Linked DNA regions of Canis lupus familiaris. The protein of the gene in region 3 purifies or fractionates together with the protein of the main gene of each other region. This does not show direct contact. Links are inferred from orthologs where the notes say so. Each region holds a gene or a part of one and is shown on either strand. Other genes may lie near its edges.

Region 1 (4,078 bases), on a different chromosome or scaffold from region 3:
AACAGCCAACCTGAGGTACCTTTTCTATATATATATATATATATATATATATATATATATATATATTTTTTTTTTTTTTTTTTTCTCTTGACCTGAATTAGTTGTTGGAAGTTCTTTTCTTTTAGGTGCCAGCACAAGGCTCTGCAGGAATTTTCTGAAGTATTAAACCAGAACTAACCTTACCCTTAGATTTCCTTTGGGACAAACTTTCCAAGAATGAGCTCTTCAATGACTAGATGAACTGTCCAACACTTTTTGTAATACAGAAGACTGGTGGTGTCACTGCCCTGCTGCTTGTAAGGGTCAAGTAGGGGAACTGAACTGCACAATGTGTTGTAAACACTACACCTTCACAAATAAAGGATCATGCAAAGCTAATCTTTTAACACTTGGCACTTGCATAAGTTGCTATTGCTACCACCATGTCTGTACATTTGTATTATATACAAAAGACCCACATAATTTATTCTGTGTGTTTAACTATTCAGACATGGTAGCAACTGTAATAATTACAAAAATAACTAAACTATTCCTTAGATATTATTGTTTTTATAGACTAATAAATCTGAAGATCATTAGCAGACATGTATTACCTCCCAGTACGCACAGTTGCTAATTTGGAACCCACACTTATATACTCAATACTAAAATAGAGCTAACCTTGTCCAATAATCAATCAATCAGTTGCTGATAAGTTAACAAGATCCCGTGACTGAATGTCTCAAATAGAAGTAAAGACAACATCTGCATAGCATTCATCATATAACCAATTCTTATTAATCACATAGGAAATGGTTCTTTAAATGAAAATATTCTGATGTCAGGATGAAGGCCCAAAAGAGCATTTCCAGCTTGCTCCTTTCTAGTTTTGAAGGTGGTTCTCTGGGCTTTCTGGGTTTTTATTTTCCTCAGAGGAGTCTGGTTTGGCCATGATTATATTATTGGTTCCAAGAGCCTCAGGTTGCTTATCATCACCATCAAAGATTATATCTTCTGGATTTGGAGGTGGGGGGCAGAAGTCTTCATTGGGAAAGATCTCCTGGAAAAGTGTTTCAGCTTGCTTGACTGCGTGCTCATTTCCCAGTCCGCAGTCAGGCCCAGAGCAGACATAAACATTGGAAGGTAAGCCATTGTATGAGCTTCTGCTGATTCCCGAGGAATCTCTCATATTAAAATAAAGAGCCCACAAGAGTCTTGGCTTTGTGAGTTCTTCCTTGTCTATTTCTGTTTCAGTATATGGGGTGAATAATTTCTTCACTACTGACTCTAAGTCTTCTCTTGCTGTTTTAGAAGATGAACAGGTCAGATGTACCAGATAGGTGTCTTTCATGCATGTCATGGTTGAAGAACATAATTCAGTGACACGAACAGCACATGTTCCTGATTCCATTGGAGGCACTATCAAAATGGAAATTTGCTGATCTGAATCTGCCTTCTTGAGTATAGACTGATCTGTAATGAGCACTGCCCTGGAGATCTGCTTATATTGCACATTTGAGCATGTTTCCTCAGAAAGGTAACTATCCTCCACAATAAAATATTTAGCATTTATTCTTTGATCTAAGTGATCTATAATTGCTTTACATCTTCCAGATTCTTTGTCAACTATAAGGCATTGAACTTTATGGCGAAGACAATAGATTCCACCAAAAACTGCACACATCCTGCAGAAACACTGGGGAATTTCTCCTTGGCCATACAAGGGAAATAAAAAGGGAGTGTTGCCAAACCGTCCAAGACACCGAAGGAAGTTTTTAGTTGCTTTAAGGCCATCTATTGTGGTGCAAGAGGACTCTGTCATTGCAATTGAGTGCAGCACAAAATGTTGGAGGTTGGGGGTTAATTTTTTAGTTTTTAAGTAATCTGAAAATGAGCAATGCACAAAAGCTTGGTATTGATCAGGATGTTGTTCATAGTCTAAACAAAATGTAAGAAATTTCATCAGTATCCTCTTTTCAACCATAGTGAGTTCTTTGCTATTAAAGACATCTGCTCTGGAACAAGGCACCTGTTCTACTTTTCCCTCGCGAAATGCAAGAATCCTAGTGACGTTTTTAAATTCTGCATAACGACTAACATTTGATTTGATTAAAAGATCGATTAGCAATCCTTGAGAATACAGCAGCTTTGATACCAAATCAATATTAAATCTCCTGCCTTCTTTAACTATTTGAGAGTAAGTAATCCTATTTCTCTTTGGTTGATCAGTGTTATCTTCCTCTATAGGTTTGTTTTCATCTTTATCTCCACCTGAAGCTGTGTTTATACAGGTTTTATCTCCACAACATTTTTCTTCTGCCAAGATGTCCTCTACATCAGTTACTTCCAGTGAAATCTCTTCATCACTTTTTGGAGTGTCTTTGGCATGCGTTTCAGAGCTAGTAACATGTAATGAGTTTGTTTCTTCGGACAAGCACACAGAATCCAGAGGTTTAGATGTTACTGCGGAAGGATTTTTCTGCAGAGCACTGATCTCTTCAATATTGTCATCCATATCCTGACTGGCATAACAGAAAACTTCTATGTGTTCAATGGTTTCATCCTTCTTGCGAAGAGCAATGGCTTCTTCTGTTTCATGCACCAGGCCTTGCCATGAAGCAGTGCTTTCTTCTGCATTGTCACCGTTTTGCTGATGCTCCTTTAACCAGGAGAGCAATCCCGAAAAGCTGAAACTTGCCCAGTTTCCTCCATAGTAACTTCTTGAATCAAGATGAAGAACTCTCTGACCACTTCTTGAACATGCAGCTGCCAGGATGGATTCAGGTAGACCTGTCCCTATTATGACCACATCGAACTCTGTGGGAAGACTGTCCGCCATTCTGGGAGATAAAGGGTCTGGTGACAACCGTCGATAAAAGAAATGTATGTGAGTCAAGGCTGAGGGCTCAGCGGAGGTGTGAATATGCTGTAATAAAATCTCTCCTTGTGATACTCCAGTTCATCCCAGAAGTCCTGAGGTTGCAGGTCCTAACTGTTTAACAGTTACCCTTTCTTAATATTGTTTTCCTTATAAGTCAGTAGCATAAAAATAGGTAAGGTATATCTAATCACATCTGAGAACACTAAAACGGATGTGTGGTTTTCATTCCTGCATTTCATCTTAGCAGTAAATGTCAAAATGCATCACACATGCATTTGTGACTGGAACTCTTCTCTGAAAGAAGAAAATTCAAGAAAGAATACAGTTGTAAACAATATTAAGAGAAAAATAATTTCATGCAACAGCAATTACAATTACTCCATTGGAGTCTGACTTGTTATCAAGACATAAGCCTCTAGGAAAGCAAGTCATTAAATGCTTTCTTACATATTTTCTAATTTCTCAAAAATGGACAAAAGAGATTTACCCCCAAAAACACGCAATAATGAGGAAGGGACATCATGATGTCCCATTAAGCAAAGGATTTCCATAATATAATTCTGTAACTTTTGCTTTTAATAAAATATTTGAACAAACTATACAGAACTGTGAGCTTAGACTGTAAGAAATGTGTGGTTCCGCCGTGTTTATGGAAACAGACTACATACTATGTGCACATTGTCATGATGAGGAATATTTCTGCAGCCAATTTAGCCTGTGGGTGATTTTAGAACAGTTGAATGAAAGATATTTCCATGCCACAACCACCCTTAGGATCTCGTGGTAGCATCATGAGACCATTTCAACTGAATTAACCAGCCAGATTATTGCAAAAGGATTAATTCATTAAAACAACTGGCATTTCGAGATATTTAGGTGCAAACAGGTCTACTGAAGGAAAATAGGCATTTTTAACAAATCTTCATATGAATGTACATATGCACATGTATTTTTTTTAGGTTTAAGTTAAAACAGAAAATTCCTACCTTTGTAAATTAAAATATCTTAACATAAAAAATACCTACTTCTAAAATCCAAGAGAAAAAAAAAATCCAAGAGAACATAGGGTGACTTGCATTTTGCCAGACTCTGGCTCTATGACCTTGAATCTCTGTATCCCAAGATAAAGGCCTGTCTCAACATCCTCTGCTAAGATTAACACGTTCTTTGCTGTTTTTTGAAGGGATAGGAGGTAGCAGTGTAGAAAGGCTCTCCTGT
Region 2 (3,648 bases), on a different chromosome or scaffold from region 3:
TAAAACAAAAAATTATTATCTTATTCAGTGGTATAATTTAAGGATGAATGTGTTCAGAAGCACTTTGATACTGCTATGTAGAAGTAATAGAAATCCAAGAGAACACAATTGGAGTTATATCTAAGTAACTTACTAGTGATCAAAATAATTTTTGATATCTAACTTGTCTTAGGTTGAAAAGCCATCAGTACTTGAAATATATACATGTATGAGTGGGTGTGGATAAAGATTTGCTATTTTTTACATACAAAGCTCTGATTTACTACACTATATAATCACGGCTTTGTTAGTAATTGGCTACAAATTGTATTAATTGACAGGTTTATTGTGCTTTAGATGTGAGTAAAATTTATGTCTACATTTAGAAAATGAAGAAGTTGAAAAACCGAGGCTTCTATGGGCTCTTTACTTCAATATGAGAGATTCTTCAGACGTCAGCAGGAACTCTTATAATGATTTACCATCCAACGTTTATGTCTGCTCTGGCCCAGACAGTGGTTTAGGAAATGATAATGCAGTCAAACAGGTAAGCTGTTGGTGTTTCTCAGTTTTGTGTTGAAAAGTTGGTTTGGTAGGGAAAGTGAATTGTTTTTTCCTCTAGAATGTGGGGAAAAAAGACTAGAAGAGCCTGTCTATCATTTAATACTATCTTTGTAATTTGCCTCCGAACTTTTTCCTGTGAATGACAAAGCTTCTTTATACTTAAAATATAGTCTTCAGTATTTTCATGTTCTTGACTATATGATGGATTTGCAGGAGAGCATTTATGAGTTCCATTGTGGGAATAAGGATGAAAGATGTTAAAAATATATATTCTGAAAAATAAAATTTATAATGCCAGTTTTCTAAAGGAACATGGCTTCTAATTTAAACTGTTGGCCTATTGTTTTATCATTTTGAAATACACTGTTTTTCTTTGTTAATCTCTGAGTCATTTCAAAAGGAGTGTAACTAATTATATACAAAATGTAATTTTTAAATTGTCTTAAAGCATTTTCTTATTTTGCAGAAGAACACGTAACTTACAGTTTTTCAGAGTTAACACAATTCCTTTAATGTTTTGACATAAGCTGGTGTCCCAAAAATTACTATCATAGCTGCTGAGGAATAGGTTAAATCAAGGTGGAATTTTGTGATAGCACTTCTGGGCAAAGCTATTAACTGGTACAGCACAGGCTGACACAAGCTGCCAAAAGTGAACTATGATTCCATTCAGATGAAGATCCATGTGTATATGTATTAATACACTTCTCTGTACCTGACAGAGAAGAACAGAAAATATATTTTTTGAGGCACAAATCTAAACTTTTCACAGATAGAATTGGCATATCTGTCTATTGAATCAAAAAGTGGATAATTTAACATTGTTTTAAGACCACAGATGGAAGTTTCAATCCAACTAGTGCTAGGGATCTTATGGAAACAAATGGCTTCATTGACTTAATTTTTAGTTGTACTGGCAAGGCCATAACCCATGTATCTATAGGTTTTTTTTGTCTCATTCCTTGTTTCTCATCTTCAGAGTTTAATGGTGATCCTGGATAATCCTATTCAACCAGTGATATCAAAAGTAGGGAGTCATCCATCATTCATTCTATTAGTTTAATAGGAACCCAAGATGGTTCGAGTTCTACATTTATGGCTTAAAATGACCAAGGCATTTTTGCTTTGATGTTCCAGTTTTTTCCAAGCAGAATTGCTGACATGTTTTCAGCCAGATAGCCTAGGTGATTTTTTTTAAGATCTATTATTTTAGAGAGAGATCCTGAGCACAGAGAGAGAAAGAGAAAAGCAGACTCCCTGCTGAGCACAGAGCCTGATGCGGGGCTTGATCTCCTGAGTGGAAATCAAGAGTAGGATGCTTAATTGAGGCACCCAGGCACCCCCTTGTGTAGGACATTTTTTTTCCTGAGTGGACTTCAGTGTTTTTTCACCAAAATGGGAAGGCTTTTCACATAAGAGCTTATTATTCAAGTTCTAATGTGATCTAAACTACCAGCTAAAAGGCTATAAATTAAAGGATAATTTTGTTATGAGATAATTTGCTTCCCAAGGAGATAGACTTCAGTGTTATCATAGTACAAAATAATAATAATGCTACTTTTGATACTAATTATATACTATTAAATATGAATAGTTTTCAAGTTGTTATATAGCTTTGTTCTAATTCAGTATTTCATCCTGTGTTTAGCCTAGTTACTAATTGATAACTTCTGTTTTCCAGATTGTCTATAAAAGTTCTTAGAGCATCACCTAGGCTTTGTCTGTGTAGCAAACATAAGCCACCTGCAGATTTCTATTTTTTAACAAATACTTTATTTGACCAATTAGCAAGTTTGCATCTATTTTTCTTATTTGTAGATATATAGATGTTGAATAGCATAGACTTGTCTCCCTTGTGTTCATATGGAACTATTTGATTTGAAAACATACTAAAAATATAAAGTGATCTGTGTTATACGAGTTAAAGTTGTGTGCAGGAGCACACCAAGACATTCTCTATTATCACCACAATGATGCTAGCCTAAGTAGCCCAAGTGATAATTGTGATTCTGTGACTTGCTAGTTTTTATAGCTTGTTACTCCAGGTTTTTTTTTTTTTTCCTGAAACCGATGTATCTCTTTTCTTAATACAGGTAGTATCCCATTTACTCACACATACTGATGAACAGACTGGTCTATAGTTCTTTACTCTCAAGATCACTGATAGCTCACTCCTCCTTCAGGAGCCCCCATCCTCTAGGAGGTGCCATCCCATGAGAACAAGAATAATTATATAGTAATGTATGTACTCTTTGTACTAAAGGTCAGCTATAAAATGGTTTAAATTTACTGATGTGAGCAGCCTAACCACCATTTAGAATGTTGTCTTTATGGCATATTAGCAATTTGTTTATAACTTTTGGTACAGAATTTGTAAGTTGAAGACTCTTTTTATAGATCATATGACCTATCAAGTTGCTCACATATTGCAGTATAACTCACTTTCTCATGCCATTGAGGGAGAGGGCAGTTTTAAGTGTCACATTTTCTAAAGCTACCATTCATTGAGTGTTTTCTGTGTACTAGACAATATCCTAAACATCATAAATATATTATTTCATTTGGTCCTTACAAACATATGACATCAGTATCTGTGACATGCCCATTTTACAAATGAGGAAACTAAGACCCAAAGGGGCTAAATAACTTGTCCAAAGATCACAGATCTCGTAGATTTGTGAGCCAAAACTTAAACTCAAGTCTGTTAGACCCCAGGGCTTATACATTCATCTGTACTGTGCTACTTTCATCTTGTTAATGTGGATACATCCTAAATACATTAAACTGCTAGACTGACAAAATATTTTTTTGTTTTGTGTAGATATATATTAAATAAACATAGGAATTTCTTCTGTAGCTCAGTGTGTCCTCTCTATACTTCCCAATATAAAGAAACCAAGTCACAATATAATTATGCCTTTTTAATTTTTTTTAACCACATGAAATTCTTTAAGCTAACTTCTGGCTTAAAAGGGCAAGAGGAATTGGGGTGCCTGAGTGGTCCAGTCACTTGAGCATCCAACTCTTGATTTTGGCTCAGGTCATGATCTCAGAGTCCTGAGATTGAGCCCTGTGTTGGACTCCATGCTGGGTGTGAAACCTGCT
Region 3 (4,117 bases):
CAAGTACACAAGGCCAGGAAAAGTGTCTCTTTTCCTCTGTGATTCATTATAGGGCCTAGGAAAGACAGACTATATAGCGGGCACTATACATACATTTGCAGAGCCTGAGAAAGATGTGGAAGAAATATAAAGAATTTAAAGCCATACTTTCTTAAATGTGAGCTATAAACACAGGGCACATGGACACACACTTCTCACAAATACATCACATAGGCTCAGTCACATATACACACTCACTGGCCACCTTGAACCCCAGGAAGGCTCTCTAGGAAACCTTCCTGAGCTGGTCCAGGAGCCACAGAAGGCTTTAGGCAGAGATGTGATATGATCAAACCTGCATTTTAGGAAAGCTGATCCAGCAGCACAGATGATGAATTTATAATGGAGATGACAGAGTAGAGATTGGGGAAACATTGAAAAGGCTTTCAACACACAGGGAAGAAATGAGCTTGGATTCTAGTGCAGTGTTTAAGAGTTACTACAGAAATTTGGGGAGAGAATAGTGCCATTCCCTATAGTAGGAAACATAAAGGCCAAAGTTTAAGAATGGATGGAATACAGTGAAACCTTTTACTTTAGGAGGCTCAGATGTCTCTGGAACACCCAGGTGACGACGTCCAATAGGCTGATGAATGTGTACATATATATGTTCATTTTTACAGCTCACAAGACATCTGGGCTGGAGACACAAGTTTGAGTGTTATCAGCTTACAGGGAGTAATTAAAACCATGACTGTGGATGAAGTCACCCAGAGAAAGTGTGAGGCCAGAAAAATCTGTGGGTCCAGGACAGAGCTCTGGGGAGCTCCGACTCCAAACGGGAGAAGGCTTGGACTTGTGAATGTTCTCCCAGGAATAGCGTGTGATGTGAAAGGGGGTGAGGAAAGGGCCCTGGCGATCACCAACATCTACGGAAGAAGGTGCACAGCGAGGAAGAGCGGTTCAGAGGCGCAGGAGAAGCCAGGAAAGGTTGTCACGCGGCAGGAAGTCGGCTACATAAAAGCTACAGACAGGAGACTCCACCCGTTCGATGTGGCAACTAGGAGGCGGCCACGGTGCCCAGAGTGATGTCAGCGGGATGGTGAGTGCGTGAGCCCCCCGCTGTCTAAAAAACTGCAGTTTGAGCAGCTGACCAAACGCAAGGCCCGACAGCTCCCACGCGCGCTGCAAAGCCGCGCATGCGCACTCGGAGGCACCAGCGGGCTAATCACAGGGCTGTGGCCTCTTGGGCGGGGACGGGCGCACGCGCCTCCCGAGCCCGCCTACTCCGCCCACGGCCCCTCCCCGGCCTGCAGAGGGCGCTGCGCCTCGGAGAGCCGGGCGTGGAGCCGCTCTAGCCTACGCCCGGGCTCGGTGGCGGGCGCCGCAGCTCCGCGCGCCCCCCAGACACCTCCCCTCGGCGCAGGTGGGTCCGCCCGCGGGGGGCGGGAGCGCCCGGCATCTGCGGGTGGGCGGGTAGCGGCAGCCCGCGGGCGCGGAGTGGTCCCCGTCGCTCAGGTGCCCTGGCGTGGGTCCGGCCCGGAGGGTCGCGCTGCGGCAAGGCGGCACGGGCGCGAGTGCCGGTCTGGGTGGGCGCCTCCTCCCGGACAAGCGCTGCGCGTCCCGGGACCCGCTCTCGCCGGGGTCCTCGGCACAGGCTCGCGTGCGGCTTCCGGGGACCAGCTGGGGGCGGGGCTAGCGGGCGGGGCTCCCGTGATTGACACTTCTCTCCCCAGGTCTCTCGGGCTTTCTCTGGACCCCTCCCCTGTCCTGAACCCTGAGCCGGCACCATGGTGAGAACCGTCCAGCCCCTCACCTCCGCATGCCCGCGGACCGCGTAGCCTCGCCTCCGTTGCCCTCTGTATAGCTAGGGCTGCGCCGTCGGGGGCTCGGGGGTCTGCCCCTGCGAGGCAGCCTGCACCCCTCCAACCCCGCCCCCGCGATCCTTGTAGCACGGGCGCCTGAAGGTGAAGACCTCGGAAGAGCAGGCGGAGGCCAAAAGGCTAGAGCGGGAGCAGAAGCTGAAGCTCTACCAGTCAGCCACCCAGACTGTCTTCCAGAAGGTGGGGCCCTTAGGGGTAGCCCCTTTTCCAGGTGGCCTCTTAGTATAGCACAGAGGCCAGGAGCTGGGCCTTAGAGTCAGACTGCCTGGATCTATATCTCGGTTCTATGACTTACAAGCTAAGCTGTGCGACCTTGGGCAAGTCCTTGACTTTTTTTAAGTTTCAGTTTGCTCTTCTGTAAAATGGGCCTTACTGCATAAAGTTGTTGTGAAAATTCATTGAGAGGATACCCAGAAGCCCATAAAGCATTCTGCGTGGTACCTATTGTGTAGCATGTGTTTACAGAATATTCAGGAGTTCTGATTATTGCTACTTAACCTCACAGTAGGAGAATGATTTGATCTCTGACCCTGCTGCCTGTCTTCTCAGCGCCAGGCTGGTGAGCTGGATGAATCAGTGCTGGAACTGACAAGCCAGATTCTGGGAGCCAACCCTGACTTTGCCACCCTGTGGAACTGTCGGCGTGAGGTGCTTCAGCGGCTGGAGGCCCAAAAGTGCGTAGGAGTTCAGGGCCCCAGGAAGATGGTGCTGGCCCTGCCCTGCCTGGGTCCAGGGGTAGAGGAAGAATGGGGCAGCCAGGGGTATAGGCAGAGGGTAGTGGAGGGCTGGGTGTAGAAAGGCAGAGGTGAGCTGAGGTTGAGTGCTGGAGGGCCCTGAGTCCCATTTCCCTCTGGGTGCAGGTCCCCCGAGGAGCTGGCAGCTCTGGTGAAGACAGAACTGGGCTTCCTGGAAAGCTGCCTGCGGGTGAATCCCAAGTCCTATGGTACCTGGCACCACCGCTGCTGGCTGCTGGGCCGCCTGCCGGAGCCCAACTGGGCCCGGGAGCTGGAGTTATGTGCCCGCTTCCTCGAGGTTGATGAACGGAACTGTACGTGTCTGCCTGCTGATCTGCCCTGCATTCTGGTTACTGGGGCCTCAGGAAGGCCCAGAGTTGGGAGGGATGGCCAGGATGGGCCTGCGAGCTGATGGCAAAGGGGCTGATGGAGACAAACCAATACCCTGTAGAACACACATGGGAGTTTCTTGAGGGCTTCTAAGAGAACTTGAGGGGTTCCAGCTATGGAGCTCCCCTTGCCCTACTTCTGAGATGTGCTGTCACTGTTCCCCTAGTTCACTGCTGGGATTACCGGCGTTTTGTGGCCGCTCAGGCAGCTGTGCCTCCTGCAGAGGAGTTAGCCTTCACTGACAGCCTCATTACCCGAAACTTTTCCAACTACTCCTCTTGGCATTACCGCTCCTGTCTCTTGCCCCAGCTGCACCCCCAGCCAGACTCTGGACCACAGGGACGTCTCCCTGAGGATGTGCTCCTCAAAGGTTAGCAGGGTCAGAGGGTGCTGGGGCAGACTATGGTGCTGTCTTTCCAGCCTTGTTACCTAACCCTGTTCCTGAACCTGCTGCTTGGGCTTATTGAGCACCTACTTTGTGCCTGGCTTTGGGGGTGTGTAAGATTCAGCCCCAGGCTGCAGGGAACACAAGTGTCCAGTGGGAAAGATGCAGCTGCTGTGCAAGGCCAGCAGATAAATGGAACCGAGGGCTGGCAGCACTCCAGGGGGAGGGTGGGATGCTGGGGTGGCCAGGAGCCACCAGGGTCCTGGCCATAGCCCATGCTCCTTGGCCCCTTCAGAACTGGAGCTGGTACAGAACGCCTTCTTCACTGACCCCAATGATCAGAGCGCCTGGTTCTATCACCGCTGGCTCCTGGGAAGAGGTGAGCAGTGGGGAAAGAGGCTGGGTCTTTAGGGTTTTGAAAGAACAGAAGAGGATATAAGGGGAGCTGAGTTTGTGTCTTCCCCAGCTGACCCCCAGGATGCCCTGCGCTGCCTGCACGTGAGCCGAGATGAGGCCTGTCTGACTGTCTCCTTCTCTCGGCCTGTCCTGGTGAGTCCTGCAGCTTTTCCGAGAAAGCATCATGGATGTGGGTCTGGTGCTGTGGGGCTGACAGGTCTGTCTTTGTCCCCTGGGCCAGGTGGGGCCCAGGACAGAGACATTGCTGCTCATGGTGGACGAGTCACCCTTGGCTGTGGAATGGAGGACCCCAGATGGCAGAAACTGGCCTGGCCACGTCTGGGTATCCC

Evidence for each region.
Region 1: the proteins of RABGGTA (region 3) and CHML purify together in Homo sapiens (co-immunoprecipitation; 3 studies listed by BioGRID and IntAct, counting the BioPlex papers as one, with this or other methods). This does not show direct contact. The link is inferred for Canis lupus familiaris from reciprocal best matches to the Homo sapiens genes RABGGTA and CHML.
Region 2: the proteins of RABGGTA (region 3) and CHM purify together in Homo sapiens (co-immunoprecipitation; 4 studies listed by BioGRID and IntAct, counting the BioPlex papers as one, with this or other methods). This does not show direct contact. The link is inferred for Canis lupus familiaris from reciprocal best matches to the Homo sapiens genes RABGGTA and CHM.

What each region holds. Positions count from the first base shown.
Region 1 is NC_049228.1:32,967,046-32,971,123, forward strand, and holds CHML (rab proteins geranylgeranyltransferase component A 2), read right to left. Parts: upstream 2,848-4,078; 5' UTR 2,819-2,847; coding exon 863-2,818; 3' UTR 80-862; downstream 1-79. UniProt on the Homo sapiens protein: Substrate-binding subunit (component A) of the Rab geranylgeranyltransferase (GGTase) complex. Binds unprenylated Rab proteins and presents the substrate peptide to the catalytic component B.
Region 2 is NC_049260.1:66,851,576-66,855,223, reverse strand, and holds part of CHM (rab proteins geranylgeranyltransferase component A 1), read left to right. Parts: intron 1-320; coding exon of another isoform or gene 321-346; exon of another isoform or gene 347-365; coding exon 366-526; intron 527-3,648. UniProt on the Homo sapiens protein: Substrate-binding subunit of the Rab geranylgeranyltransferase (GGTase) complex.
Region 3 is NC_049229.1:4,373,571-4,377,687, reverse strand, and holds the start of RABGGTA (geranylgeranyl transferase type-2 subunit alpha), read left to right. Parts: upstream 1-1,272; 5' UTR 1,273-1,405; exon of another isoform or gene 1,406-1,497; intron 1,498-1,715; 5' UTR 1,716-1,769; coding exon 1,770-1,772; intron 1,773-1,931; coding exon 1,932-2,042; intron 2,043-2,411; coding exon 2,412-2,536; intron 2,537-2,722; coding exon 2,723-2,910; intron 2,911-3,152; coding exon 3,153-3,356; intron 3,357-3,666; coding exon 3,667-3,750; intron 3,751-3,837; coding exon 3,838-3,920; intron 3,921-4,008; coding exon 4,009-4,110; intron 4,111-4,117. UniProt on the Homo sapiens protein: Catalyzes the transfer of a geranylgeranyl moiety from geranylgeranyl diphosphate to both cysteines of Rab proteins with the C-terminal sequence -XXCC, -XCXC and -CCXX, such as RAB1A, RAB3A, RAB5A and RAB7A.